Caenorhabditis elegans: one gene and its partners. The protein of the gene in region 1 interacts with the protein of each later gene in a pairwise test. Each region holds a gene or a part of one and is shown in the gene's direction. Other genes may lie near its edges.

The links.
Region 2: the proteins of rpl-18 (region 1) and nob-1 interact in a two-hybrid assay, tested with the Caenorhabditis elegans proteins (one large-scale study listed by BioGRID).
Region 3: the proteins of rpl-18 (region 1) and mei-1 interact in a two-hybrid assay, tested with the Caenorhabditis elegans proteins (one large-scale study listed by BioGRID).

What each region holds. Positions count from the first base shown.
Region 1 is NC_003282.8:13,775,717-13,779,315, forward strand, and holds rpl-18 (Large ribosomal subunit protein eL18), read left to right. Parts: upstream 1-2,148; 5' UTR 2,149-2,174; coding exon 2,175-2,177; intron 2,178-2,233; coding exon 2,234-2,320; intron 2,321-2,364; coding exon 2,365-2,571; intron 2,572-2,713; coding exon 2,714-2,836; intron 2,837-2,885; coding exon 2,886-3,032; 3' UTR 3,033-3,093; downstream 3,094-3,599. Other genes in the region: Y45F10D.16 (uncharacterized protein), read left to right, coding at 1,153-1,208, 1,256-1,418; gly-10 (Putative polypeptide N-acetylgalactosaminyltransferase 10), read left to right, coding at 3,380-3,599.
Region 2 is NC_003281.10:12,082,255-12,086,008, reverse strand, and holds the start of nob-1 (Homeobox protein nob-1), read left to right. Parts: upstream 1-1,692; 5' UTR 1,693-1,746; coding exon 1,747-1,934; intron 1,935-1,978; coding exon 1,979-2,187; intron 2,188-3,754. UniProt on the Caenorhabditis elegans protein: Transcription factor, involved in posterior embryonic patterning, morphogenetic movements of the posterior hypodermis, and cell fate specification. Binds to the 5'-TAGT-3' motif in regulatory elements of genes, including Meis protein psa-3 and microRNA mir-57.
Region 3 is NC_003279.8:8,292,756-8,296,509, forward strand, and holds the start of mei-1 (Meiotic spindle formation protein mei-1), read left to right. Parts: upstream 1-2,118; 5' UTR 2,119-2,126; coding exon 2,127-2,303; intron 2,304-2,353; coding exon 2,354-2,692; intron 2,693-2,738; coding exon 2,739-3,466; intron 3,467-3,754. Other genes in the region: npp-2 (Nuclear pore complex protein Nup85), read right to left, coding at 1-157, 210-745, 792-885. UniProt on the Caenorhabditis elegans protein: Catalytic subunit of a complex which severs microtubules in an ATP-dependent manner. Microtubule severing may promote rapid reorganization of cellular microtubule arrays.

The sequences.
Region 1 (3,599 bases):
TTCTTCGCGGCGAAACCCATCCGATAAGTTCCATGCGCCTTTAATTTTCAGCAAATTGCATAATATCCACGCAGCAGTCTTGTTTTCCTTTTAAACACTCAAAAATGAATGCACACAGCACCCAATCACATATCGTATCACGTAGTGCCAGGCTGTCCCGGTTCGATCTACAAAAAACGCGGGAATTTTTTGCCCAAAAATATGTGACGTCAGCACGTGTTCTTATCTATACGAAATCAGTTGAGAAGTCTGTGTCTCTTCTCCCGCATTTTTTGTAGATCTACGTAGATCAAGCCGAAATGAAATTTCTGCAATAAAAAACTCTTCGCGGCGAGACCCATCCGATAAGTTCCATGCGCCTTTATTTTTCAGAAAATTGCATAATATCCACGTTGCACGTTAAAGGAACATACTATCTTCCTCGGTGGGTCTCGTCACGATTCTTGTAATTTTGGATAATGATCATGATGTTCTTAGCTTGTGAGGACTGTAACTTTGAGCTCCGCAAACTATAATAACTTGCTCCTATGCTCATATTTCAAAGCTCGAGAGCTCAAAGAATTCCACTCTATGAACCCAAGCTCACGTGCCACAAGGATGTTACATTCTGATATTTGGTCTGTAAATTCTCAAACATCCTAGAAAAAATTTTTTTTCGCGTTTTTTTGTGTCTGGCTGGCTTCTGACGTGTTCGCGTTCAAATATGTATTGTGTCAAACACTCAAACACAAGAAATATGCCGTTTACACACACAGAGAGGGCTCGGTCAATACAAGCAAAATATAAGTAAAATTCGACGTAAATTTCCGAGTTTTGGTCTTCTACTCTGTAAATTTGCCATTTCATTTTTTTTCCTCTTTCAATAAATTGCGGGGGTGAAGACAGGTGTCAAACAAAAATGAATTCCATTTTTCAAACAAGTTGTGCACTGCAACCAGTTAATGTAATCGGTCATTGGTCCAAACACTCATGAAAGCAAATAAAAAATTCCGATTTGATGATCATAGATTCCGAATTTCTAAGGCATGCTTGCCCAAAGTTCACATTCCTCGGATCAACCAAACCACAGAAATATTTCGGAATTTTTCGTGAAAAGTCACGTGAAATCCAGCGACTTTTTTGCAAAGTGTTCCTTTCACCATTTCTCAAAAAATGAACTCTACAGCGAACTCGGGACTGCAAACTGTTGTCCGTGGAGAAGGGTATTTGTATGTTTTTCGATTTTTAAATTCAGGTATTAGTTGGTTCCTTTTAGGCTGGCCCATTTGTTCTTCGTGGTTCCAGTCATTGTGCTCCAGGTTCAGTACATCATGAGTGTTATCCGGCGGAGAAGACTGAAGAAGCAATTCCGAGCGGTTATCAGGAATAATGATCGATCTCCAGCCAATCCAGATGGCATTAGTGATAAATCTGATTAATTTTTGTTTTTTTTTTCCGATAAATTATTTTTTAATTTGCATTCGTTTTTTAATAGTCTTTTAAATCTTGATTAATTCAGAATAACTGTTTAATCTTTTTTAATTGAAATATTGACAAAATTATAAATTTCCGGCAATCCAGATGGAATCAGTGGAAAATTCGCTTAACTTCGTTTATCAAAGAAAAATCTTGAATTTTGTTTCAGTTCTTTAAATTTTTCATGTTTTTCATGTCAAACATAAATTTTCATTCGGCTAATGAATGCTAAAAAAGTCAATTTCATTATATTGTTGGAGAAAACGCGACTTTTAATGTATTTTCATATTAAAAGAACCGATCGAAAGTTGTGAAAAACTTATTAAAAGAAGAAATGGAAAGAAAAAAGCTAAATAACAATGAAATTTCATTTATACTCTCAATTTTTAATCAAAATTCTGAAAATTTTACTTATTTCTCACTGAAAACTCTGAAAACACTGAAAAATTGCCGAAATTCTGTCGAAAAATGTGTGAAATTGTAAAACATAAACAGGGCGCGCAACGACACTCCGCTCCAATCACGGGTCTCGCAACGAAAAAGTGTGCGCCTTTGAATGAATTGAGGGAATATTTCTACTAGCCTAAAATTTTTTTCACGTTTTTTACCGTAAAGTAGCGTGTTTTTGCCGGTTTTTCCGTTGTTTTTGATAAATTATAATTAAAATTTTGATTTTTAACGTTATTTTTGCAGGGTACATCTTAATCTACTCATAAATCATGGTAAGTTTTGAAATATTCATATTTTTAACTTGAAAACTAATATTTAAATTTTTTAGGGTATTGATATCAACCACAAGCACGATCGCGTCGCCCGCAGAACGGCACCAAAGAGTGAGAACCCTTACCTCCGTCTTCTGTCCAAGGTAACACTTAGTTTTTGTTGCTCTGTTTAAAAATTAATTTTAAGCTCTACGCTTTCCTCGCTAGACGCACTGGAGAGAAGTTCAACGCCATCGTCTTGAAGAGACTCCGCATGTCCCGTCGTAACCGTCAGCCACTCTCGCTCGCCAAGCTTGCCCGCGCCGTCCAGAAGGCTGGAAACGAGAACAAGACTGTTGTCACCCTCTCGACTGTCACCGATGATGCCCGTCTCTACACTGTCCCAAAGATCTCCGTAAGCATTTCTTTTACCGTTAAAATTGTAAAAATTATTCTTGGTTTTTATGAAACCAGTTTAGTACTGAAATAATACGAAAACATCGGAGTAACTCCGGAATTCTTCAAAATTCGTCTCATTTTCAATTAATTTAATTTAGGTCGCCGCTCTTCACGTCACCGAAGGAGCCCGCGCCAGAATCCTTGCTGCCGGAGGAGAAATCATCACCCTCGACCAGCTCGCCCTCAAGTCGCCAAAGGGAGAAAACACCGTCTTCCTCCAGGTATTTCACAATTTTTCTATTATCTTTATTTATTTTTGTACATTTTCAGGGACCACGATCTGCTCGTGAAGCCGAGAAGCACTTCGGACCAGCTCCAGGAGTCCCACACTCCCACACCAAGCCATACGTCAGATCAAAGGGACGCAAGTTCGAGCGCGCCCGCGGACGCAGAGCTTCCAGAGCCTACAAGAACTAAGTTGTTGTTATTTTGTTCCCATGATTGTTTTCGAATCATGCCGAATAAAAATGTGTCAATATTTAATGTTTTTGTGTTGAATGGATTTGATTGATATCAGGTGTTTCAAACCTTGCAGATAATGGAAAAATGTTACTTATTTTGAAAAGGGTTAAGTGGTGGCGGAACTTTTGGTCTTCATATATTGGAAGGAAGGAACAATAACGATACACTTATCGCCGACCTTCGAGATTGAAAAAGTTGTCTCCTTACATGGTTTCAATGTTCATTGCGCTTAGAAAACGTCGAAATATTCCGATTCCCAGCCTTTTGCCGTTCTTTTTGGCCTCCTAACAAAACGGCAGACAATGGTTGCCATCTGCATAAAAATAGGAGAGCGAGAGAGAAAAAGAGTGCACATCATGTTGTTGGCGTATACGTGGAAAACGCGTGTATCGTCTCACCAGTGCAACAAATCCCCCATTTTTGGTCTTTTTGCAATTCAATTTTCAAATATTTGTTCTAATCTGTTGCTGCTGCAGCAAAAGCTCGTAACTGTTCTCACTCCTCGTAAAACTATGAAATTTC
Region 2 (3,754 bases), on another chromosome or scaffold:
CTAGAATTTCAAAGGGCCTAAGCTCAAGCCTAAGTCTAAGCCTAAGTCTCACGATAGTTTTAGGGTCTCAAATTTAAATAAAAACCTGTATCTAAAAAATCAAAACTGTTCTAAAAAAGCACCCCCTGCTCTACTTTGACAGCCTAAAACTCGGTTCGCTTTGGTTTTATCAAACAATTGCAAACGGACAAAATAAGTGCAAAGTGTTTCCCTATATTTTGGTTATTGCAAATTTTTTGGTAAAACTGAAGACAGCCGAGGTATAAGCCGCCACGTGGTGTCAGGCTGTCCCATTACGGTTTGATCTACAAAAAATGCGGTAATTTTTTTCTCAAAAAATGTGACGTCAGCACGTTCTTAACCATGCAAAATCAATTGAGAACTCTGCCGCATTTTTTGGTAGATCAGCGTAGATCAATCCAAAATGAGACACTCTGGCACCACGTGTGCGGGAAGCTTAAATACTCAAGCTTCAGGGGGTTTTTTAAATTTCAAATCTAAATCCTCTTGACAAGAAAAATAGAATGACCAGAAACCGAAGCGAGAAAAAAGAAAAAAAAGTGGCGACCTCTCTTTCTCTCTTCCTGTCCATTGACTAAAAGGCAAATCGGATCGGAAGGTAATCCAGTCGTAAAATTGGTGGAAGGTTTCCTATACTAAAATTATATCATAGAATACGGAGTGCAGGAGGTCGGGTTTTTTTTTCAAATGAATTGATATAATAAAATTGAAAAAAAAACGCTCAAATTTTGTATCATATATATGGGAATAAAAAGTTGATATTTGTCAAAATCATGGAATTTGCTTTTCCCTTGCTTTTTGCACTCAACTTGTCTCTCCTATTCATTCTCTGTTCCCCGCCCGCCCCGCTCCTCGCCGCCCAATTCGTCAGAGGGGTACGGTAGACAAGTGGGTGGAGCGTGCGTGTTATGTAGTGTCCTCCTTTCTGCTCCTCGGCCTCATCACCTTTCACGGCCCCCCGCCCCTTATTCTCTTTATAGTCTCTTTGGTGTTTTCCAACACAAGGGGGAAAGAGGAAACACCTTTTTAATGCGTTTATAAAACTTTTTTAGTGCTCTCTTAATCTTTATTACTTGTCTCGCATGCATGTTTCAACATTTATGTTATTTATGTGCCCCCCCAGCTTTTATTTTATTACCCTCAAAAGGTTTATGAGGTTTAAAATTATTTTATTGGTGCTTAAGGTTTTGATTGCCGCGTTTGTCGCCGATAAATAATAATTACTGTTATAAGCTTATTTACTAATTAATTAATTTTCCGCGTCAAAATCCTAAATATATCGTAGCTAAAGCTTTATATCTAGTTAGTATGGCCCCCCATCAATCGACTTTGTCGTCTTATATTTCAGCGGTTTCATAAGATTTTTGATACCTTCAAAAACCAGAGCATAACTATAGATTTGAAAAAGATATTGTCGTTCGAGTTTTTGACATATGATCAAAAAGAACCGAGATATAAGCGTTCAAAGTCGAGTGAGGGGGGCCGTACTAATAGGAAATATACGGTAAATGACTACTGTAGCTCTTACAAGCCGTGCTAAATTCATTTCAAAAATCGAGCCCGTAAATCGACACAAGTGCTACAGTAGTGTTCAAATATAAGCTTTTTAAATTCTCGTTTTTCTTTTCCTTACTTTTTCAAGCTCAATCTCGCAAAGTGCTCAACTTTCAGGTTCAAAAACAGATCTCCAAACCCAAATAACTCCCCAAGCTGCTCATATATGGAATGATTTCGGTGATGCAACAAATGATTAATAACGACTCTCCAGAAGACTCTAAAGAATCTATCACCTCTGTCCAACAAACTCCATTCTTCTGGCCAAGTGCTGCTGCTGCCATACCGTCGATACAAGGAGAAAGCCGTTCGGAAAGAGAATCTGAAACTGGGTCGAGTCCACAGCTAGCGCCGTCTAGGTTAGTGTGAAGTTGATTTGGCAAATGACATCTATCATTTTCAGCACAGGAATGGTTATGCCTGGAACAGCAGGGATGTATGGGTTCGGACCAAGTCGAATGCCAACTGCCAACGAGTTTGGAATGATGATGAACCCGGTCTACACGGATTTCTATCAAAATCCGCTGGCCTCAACTGGTTGGTACTCATACGGACAACCGTATCAATTCACAGCTAACTACTCCATTCCAAGTCTCGATGGAAATTTAAGTGGTTAGTTCCAACATCTCACTTCTATTATGTCATTGTGCTCTTCCATCTGCCCGCCCACCTCCGCATTCCTCGCTATCACTAGCTTTGATCTTACCGCCGCGAGTTGCAAGGGTAGGAGAACACGGTTTTCTGCTCCGTAACTCGGAACTTTCTAAAAGATCATAAGTCAATTCGCAGCCTATTTGGATCTCATTCCTTTCCTTTTCCGCATAACAATCATAAAATTATTAATTACCGTTGAGACCTCCCCCACCCATAAATTTCGCCTCGCCCTTGCCCAATTAGTAATCGATATCAAATCACACACGCGCCTTCAATTCCTACCGTACCACTTTATCTTCCGATCATCTCTTTTTTTGTTCGTCATTCTTCCTTATATAGAATCTTCTTCATTTTTTTGCCCCCATACAGTAATCGGAGAGTGCACTCTCCTCGCGGCGCCAGCGGCGACCCTTTCAAGTTGTATATGTGTGTGTGTGTGTATCGACGACGTGTATAAACACGCACTGGCGACACTCTTTTTTTTTTGGAGAAAAGGCAAAAAAGGAGAGGAGAAGACTATATCGATAACAGACACTTTACATCAGTTTTATGGTACGGTAGAGAAGGGGCAAAGTGTCAGAAGCTGTGGTTCTAATTATACCAATATCGATTTTTTGTAAGGTATGCCGTATTTTAATGTCTTATGTAAAACGTAGCTTTTAGGATTTAGGTTTTTTTCCTGAACTCATTTAAGTTTATATATTAGCTATTTTCGCTTTTACGGTGATTTGCTTGAATTGCTCAAACAAGTATAGGTAACTCGAATATGATAACTGCTAGCAAAAAATTTCCAACTAACAAAATGTTGCTGTTGATTTTTTCCACATCCTTGATATTGCCATAATTACATAACTTTGTTTACAGCAACTGACATCCGGCGGGACTGTTTTTTCTTTAACTAGAATAGAATTACTAAGTACCCCATGACTTTTGAACTAGGTGTGTATAGCAGTTTATACTACCGTATATTTCCTATTAGTATGACCCCCCCCCCTATCAATTGACTTTGTCGGCTTATATTTCAGCGGTTTCAGAAGATTTTTGGTACCTTTAAAAACCAGAGCATAACAATAGATTTGAAAAAGATTTTGTCGTTTGAATTTTTGAAATATGATCAATCAAAGAGAACCGAGATATAAACGGTCAAAGTCGAGTGAGGGGGGCGCCATACTAAAAGGGAATATACGGTGCACTTTCAGATTTTTTTTAATGCTGGAAGTTGTGAATCACCATTCTCAAATAAAAAAGATCAAAAACCAGTGTAATAGAATCTCAAATCTCAAACCTCCCAGCAACAAATCAACAGTCTATAAAATAACTCAACTTGGCGCCTTATGGTACTTTTCGGGGGGGCGCTATACATGTCCCTATCACTCATTCACAAATTGCCTTTTCGCCCAAAATATTTCGTTTTTCTCCCCGTCTCTCTCGCTTGCTGTGTGTTATCTCCATTTTCGATTTTACGACTCCGTGTGGCTGCTTGGCTTCGTCCCGCTCCCCGTATTTGGAGAGGCAGAGAGACTCT
Region 3 (3,754 bases), on another chromosome or scaffold:
GCCACCACGTGTCGAAAATCCGTGAAGCCATAGATACGAGGTATCGTTCCTCACCGAGTAGGAGCTTCGTAAGATATTTGAAATTTTCGTTGCTCCCGTACTTCCCACTTGTCAAATTTTCACGCATGATATCCTTCCATTCATTTACTGTGTTAGCCTGAAATAAGAATATTACGAAGTTTAAGAATTATTATATAAATGGGTCTTACTAATGCTTCGTCGACTAAGTTTTCGGGATTGAAGAATGTGAGAGCCTCAATGAATGCATCACATTCTGATCCGCCTCCATGTAGCTCCAACAGTTCAACACAATCGCTGAAATTGCAACTAAGCAAGCTGACTGCTACTCCCTTCCAATATTCTTCTGGAATCGTCTTCCCCGGATGCAGATATTCCACAGCTGATTCCATGGCTCCTCTAGAAAACGTGAAGCTCTGATTGGCCCATGAAATAAGATCCGCACATATCGAGCTATCACCTCTTCCAAACCATAATTTCTCGTAAAGTGACCACAAAGCAAAGTCTGTCATGAAGTCGGAACTGCTGTGAGACACGGCGGCATTGTAGAGAACTGAACGATAAGCTCGAGAGAATGTGCAGCAAGTAGGCGTGTCTAGAGGTGCATCAGGTGAGGAGCCTTTTTGACATTTATCAAATACAGAATACATTTCGATAACAAGTCGTCTGAGATTTGGTGTCGCAAGAATTTGTCGATTTTGTGAAACTTTCTCGACCAAGACTGTTTCTGAAAAATCTCTTATGTTGGAAACTGAAGAAGATGCAATTTTTACCTTTATTTGAAAATCCTTTTTTATCTGTTAGGAAGGCGAAGACCGTGGAGGAGTCGCTGACAGCTATCCCGAATTCTCGAGCGACATCCGTCATCTGAAAGAGATACTAATGTCATGTGAAGTGGTATTAAAAATATAGTAAGCACGGTAGAAACATTAACTTATAAAATTGAGATTTCTGATAAATAAAATTTTTCCGGGAGTTCTGTAAAACTTCTTACGGTTTTAACTTGATAATTCCATAGGGTTTAAAATTTCCTTTTGTTTCTTGAGTTTCTTCTCGGAATTTGAACAAAAATAACGCGTTTAATCTCGAATCAGTACAATGATGGACTACACGGCAGTTTTAAAAAACCAATTAATAATAATAATCCTAAAAAATGAGAAGAATATTTAAGAAAATGTAAAAGTTTTCCGCGGAATTCCGCTAAAATTCGAAAATTGAAAGTGTTCAAATTGCAAGCGATTGTGCATTCAGACGTGACAGTGTCTGGGGTGTATTGCGTACTCGACATTTTAACTGACGACACTTGTACTTTTGCGCCATACTTCCGGAGCTCCAGCTCCGCGGAGCCCTGAGCAATTATTTTTTTACTTTTTATGAAAAGCTTTCTATAGATATCTTTTAAGAAGTTACACTATAATTGTGCAAATCAAACTGGCTCCGGACAACACAAATTTCGTCTATACCTTTATGATCTTTTTTTGTTAAACAAGTGAAACAATTATTTCCTTTTCAAACTGCTCTTGTTTCTTCTCTTTATTAATCAATTTTTTTTTTTTTGCTTTGTGTAAATTAATTGTTTGTCGCGGATGAGCTAATTCTGAGGTTTGACCAGCAGAAATCTGTTTTCTGAAAAATCAATAACTCGCCGCTTAATTTTGGTTTTATTCAAGTGATATGCAATTAGAAGGTTCTAATCATTTATATCTCGCTGAAAGATCTCAGATTTCAAGCCTTTTGCTAAGGATTTAATTCCTAAAACTTTTTTTGACCTATCATTTTTTGTGTGATCTACCGCTGTAAATACTTGTTGTTTTGCGGCTAAACTCTTTCAATGTTTCCAACAAGTGAGCCAATATCAAGTAAAAAAAGAAAAATCGTTTTCTATTCAACCATTTTATTCTGTAAATAATATTAAATTCATCTTCACGGTACAATCTTCTTCTCCCATCTAATAAAGTCCACGCACACTCCGTTCCGTCGTTTCCCTATTCGTTATCATTCATCATCTTGCCATTTTCTTCTCCGCCAAATCCCATTGTCTTATACTAAATTTCATCCTCTCGTCTGTAGAAGTGTATATTATTGAAAAATTAAAGTATATTTTCAGGATGAATGGGGATGTGCAGTCAGTCATTCGCGGATATCTGGAGCGAGCCCAAGTCGCGAAAACAATGTCCGATGCCGGACGATGGAATGAGGCTGGTGATCTTCTTCGTCAGCTCATGACAGATGTCAAAAGCTGTAAAATTTCGGCAAGCAACAGAGACGAGCATGACGCAAGAAATGTACGTAATATAAATCTTTTAAAAGCTTGTTGAATTATTTGAAATTTCAGACATTCCTACGAGCCCTAGAGGCTAATTTGAAGCTTGTCCAACAAAATGTGCGCGATGAAGATGACCTACACGAGGCGATGACGCGACAAAGTGGAAGTCCAGAGCCACCTGCAGACCCAGATGTTTGGTCCAAACCATCGCCACCGTTACCATCCTCATCGAAATTTGGAGCAACAAAGAAAGGAGTTGGAGCAGCAGGTCCACGTCCCAGAGAAATATCAAAGTCAACGTCGTCGATGAGCACGAATCCGGCTGATGTGAAGCCTGCGAATCCAACACAAGGAATACTGCCTCAAAATAGTGCTGGAGATTCATTCGATGCATCGGCTTATGATGCGGTAAGTTATTATGTTTTCCAGAAACAAAAATCAGAAATCTTTTCAGTACATTGTTCAAGCGGTGCGTGGTACAATGGCTACAAATACGGAAAATACAATGTCTTTAGATGATATAATCGGAATGCACGACGTGAAGCAAGTTCTGCACGAAGCCGTCACTCTTCCACTCTTGGTGCCAGAATTCTTCCAGGGTCTCCGTTCACCATGGAAAGCAATGGTTCTCGCTGGACCACCTGGAACTGGAAAGACTCTTATCGCACGTGCGATTGCTTCAGAGTCTAGTTCAACTTTTTTTACCGTTTCCTCGACTGATCTGTCCAGCAAGTGGCGTGGTGATTCCGAGAAGATTGTTCGTCTGTTATTCGAACTTGCACGGTTCTATGCTCCATCCATAATCTTCATCGATGAGATTGACACACTTGGTGGACAACGTGGAAATTCTGGAGAACACGAAGCGAGTCGGCGTGTTAAATCCGAGTTTCTGGTACAAATGGACGGGTCACAGAATAAATTCGATTCGCGACGTGTATTCGTGCTGGCCGCCACAAATATTCCATGGGAGCTCGATGAGGCACTCCGAAGACGTTTCGAAAAGCGAATCTTCATTCCACTGCCAGATATAGATGCAAGAAAGAAGCTTATCGAAAAATCAATGGAAGGAACTCCGAAATCCGATGAAATTAACTATGATGACTTGGCGGCAAGGACTGAAGGATTCTCAGGAGCTGATGTTGTGTCTCTATGCAGAACTGCTGCTATCAATGTGTTGAGAAGGTAGGTAGCAGGAATGTGCAGAAAATCTTTTTGGAAAACGTGCTTGTTTCAATAAGATAATCCAATATTTCGAATCAAAAACTGGTATAGAAATGGCAACTTTCATGCACTATTTAATGTTTTTAAACGCTTGTAGACAAAATTAAATAACATTTTAAGATGAAATGAACCGTTTTTATAAATTTCGATATCAATTTAAGATTGAAAAGTTGGATTATCATAATTAAAAAAAAGCCAATTTTGTACGTTTGCTGAAAAAATTTTGCTAATCGCGATGTTGCAACACTT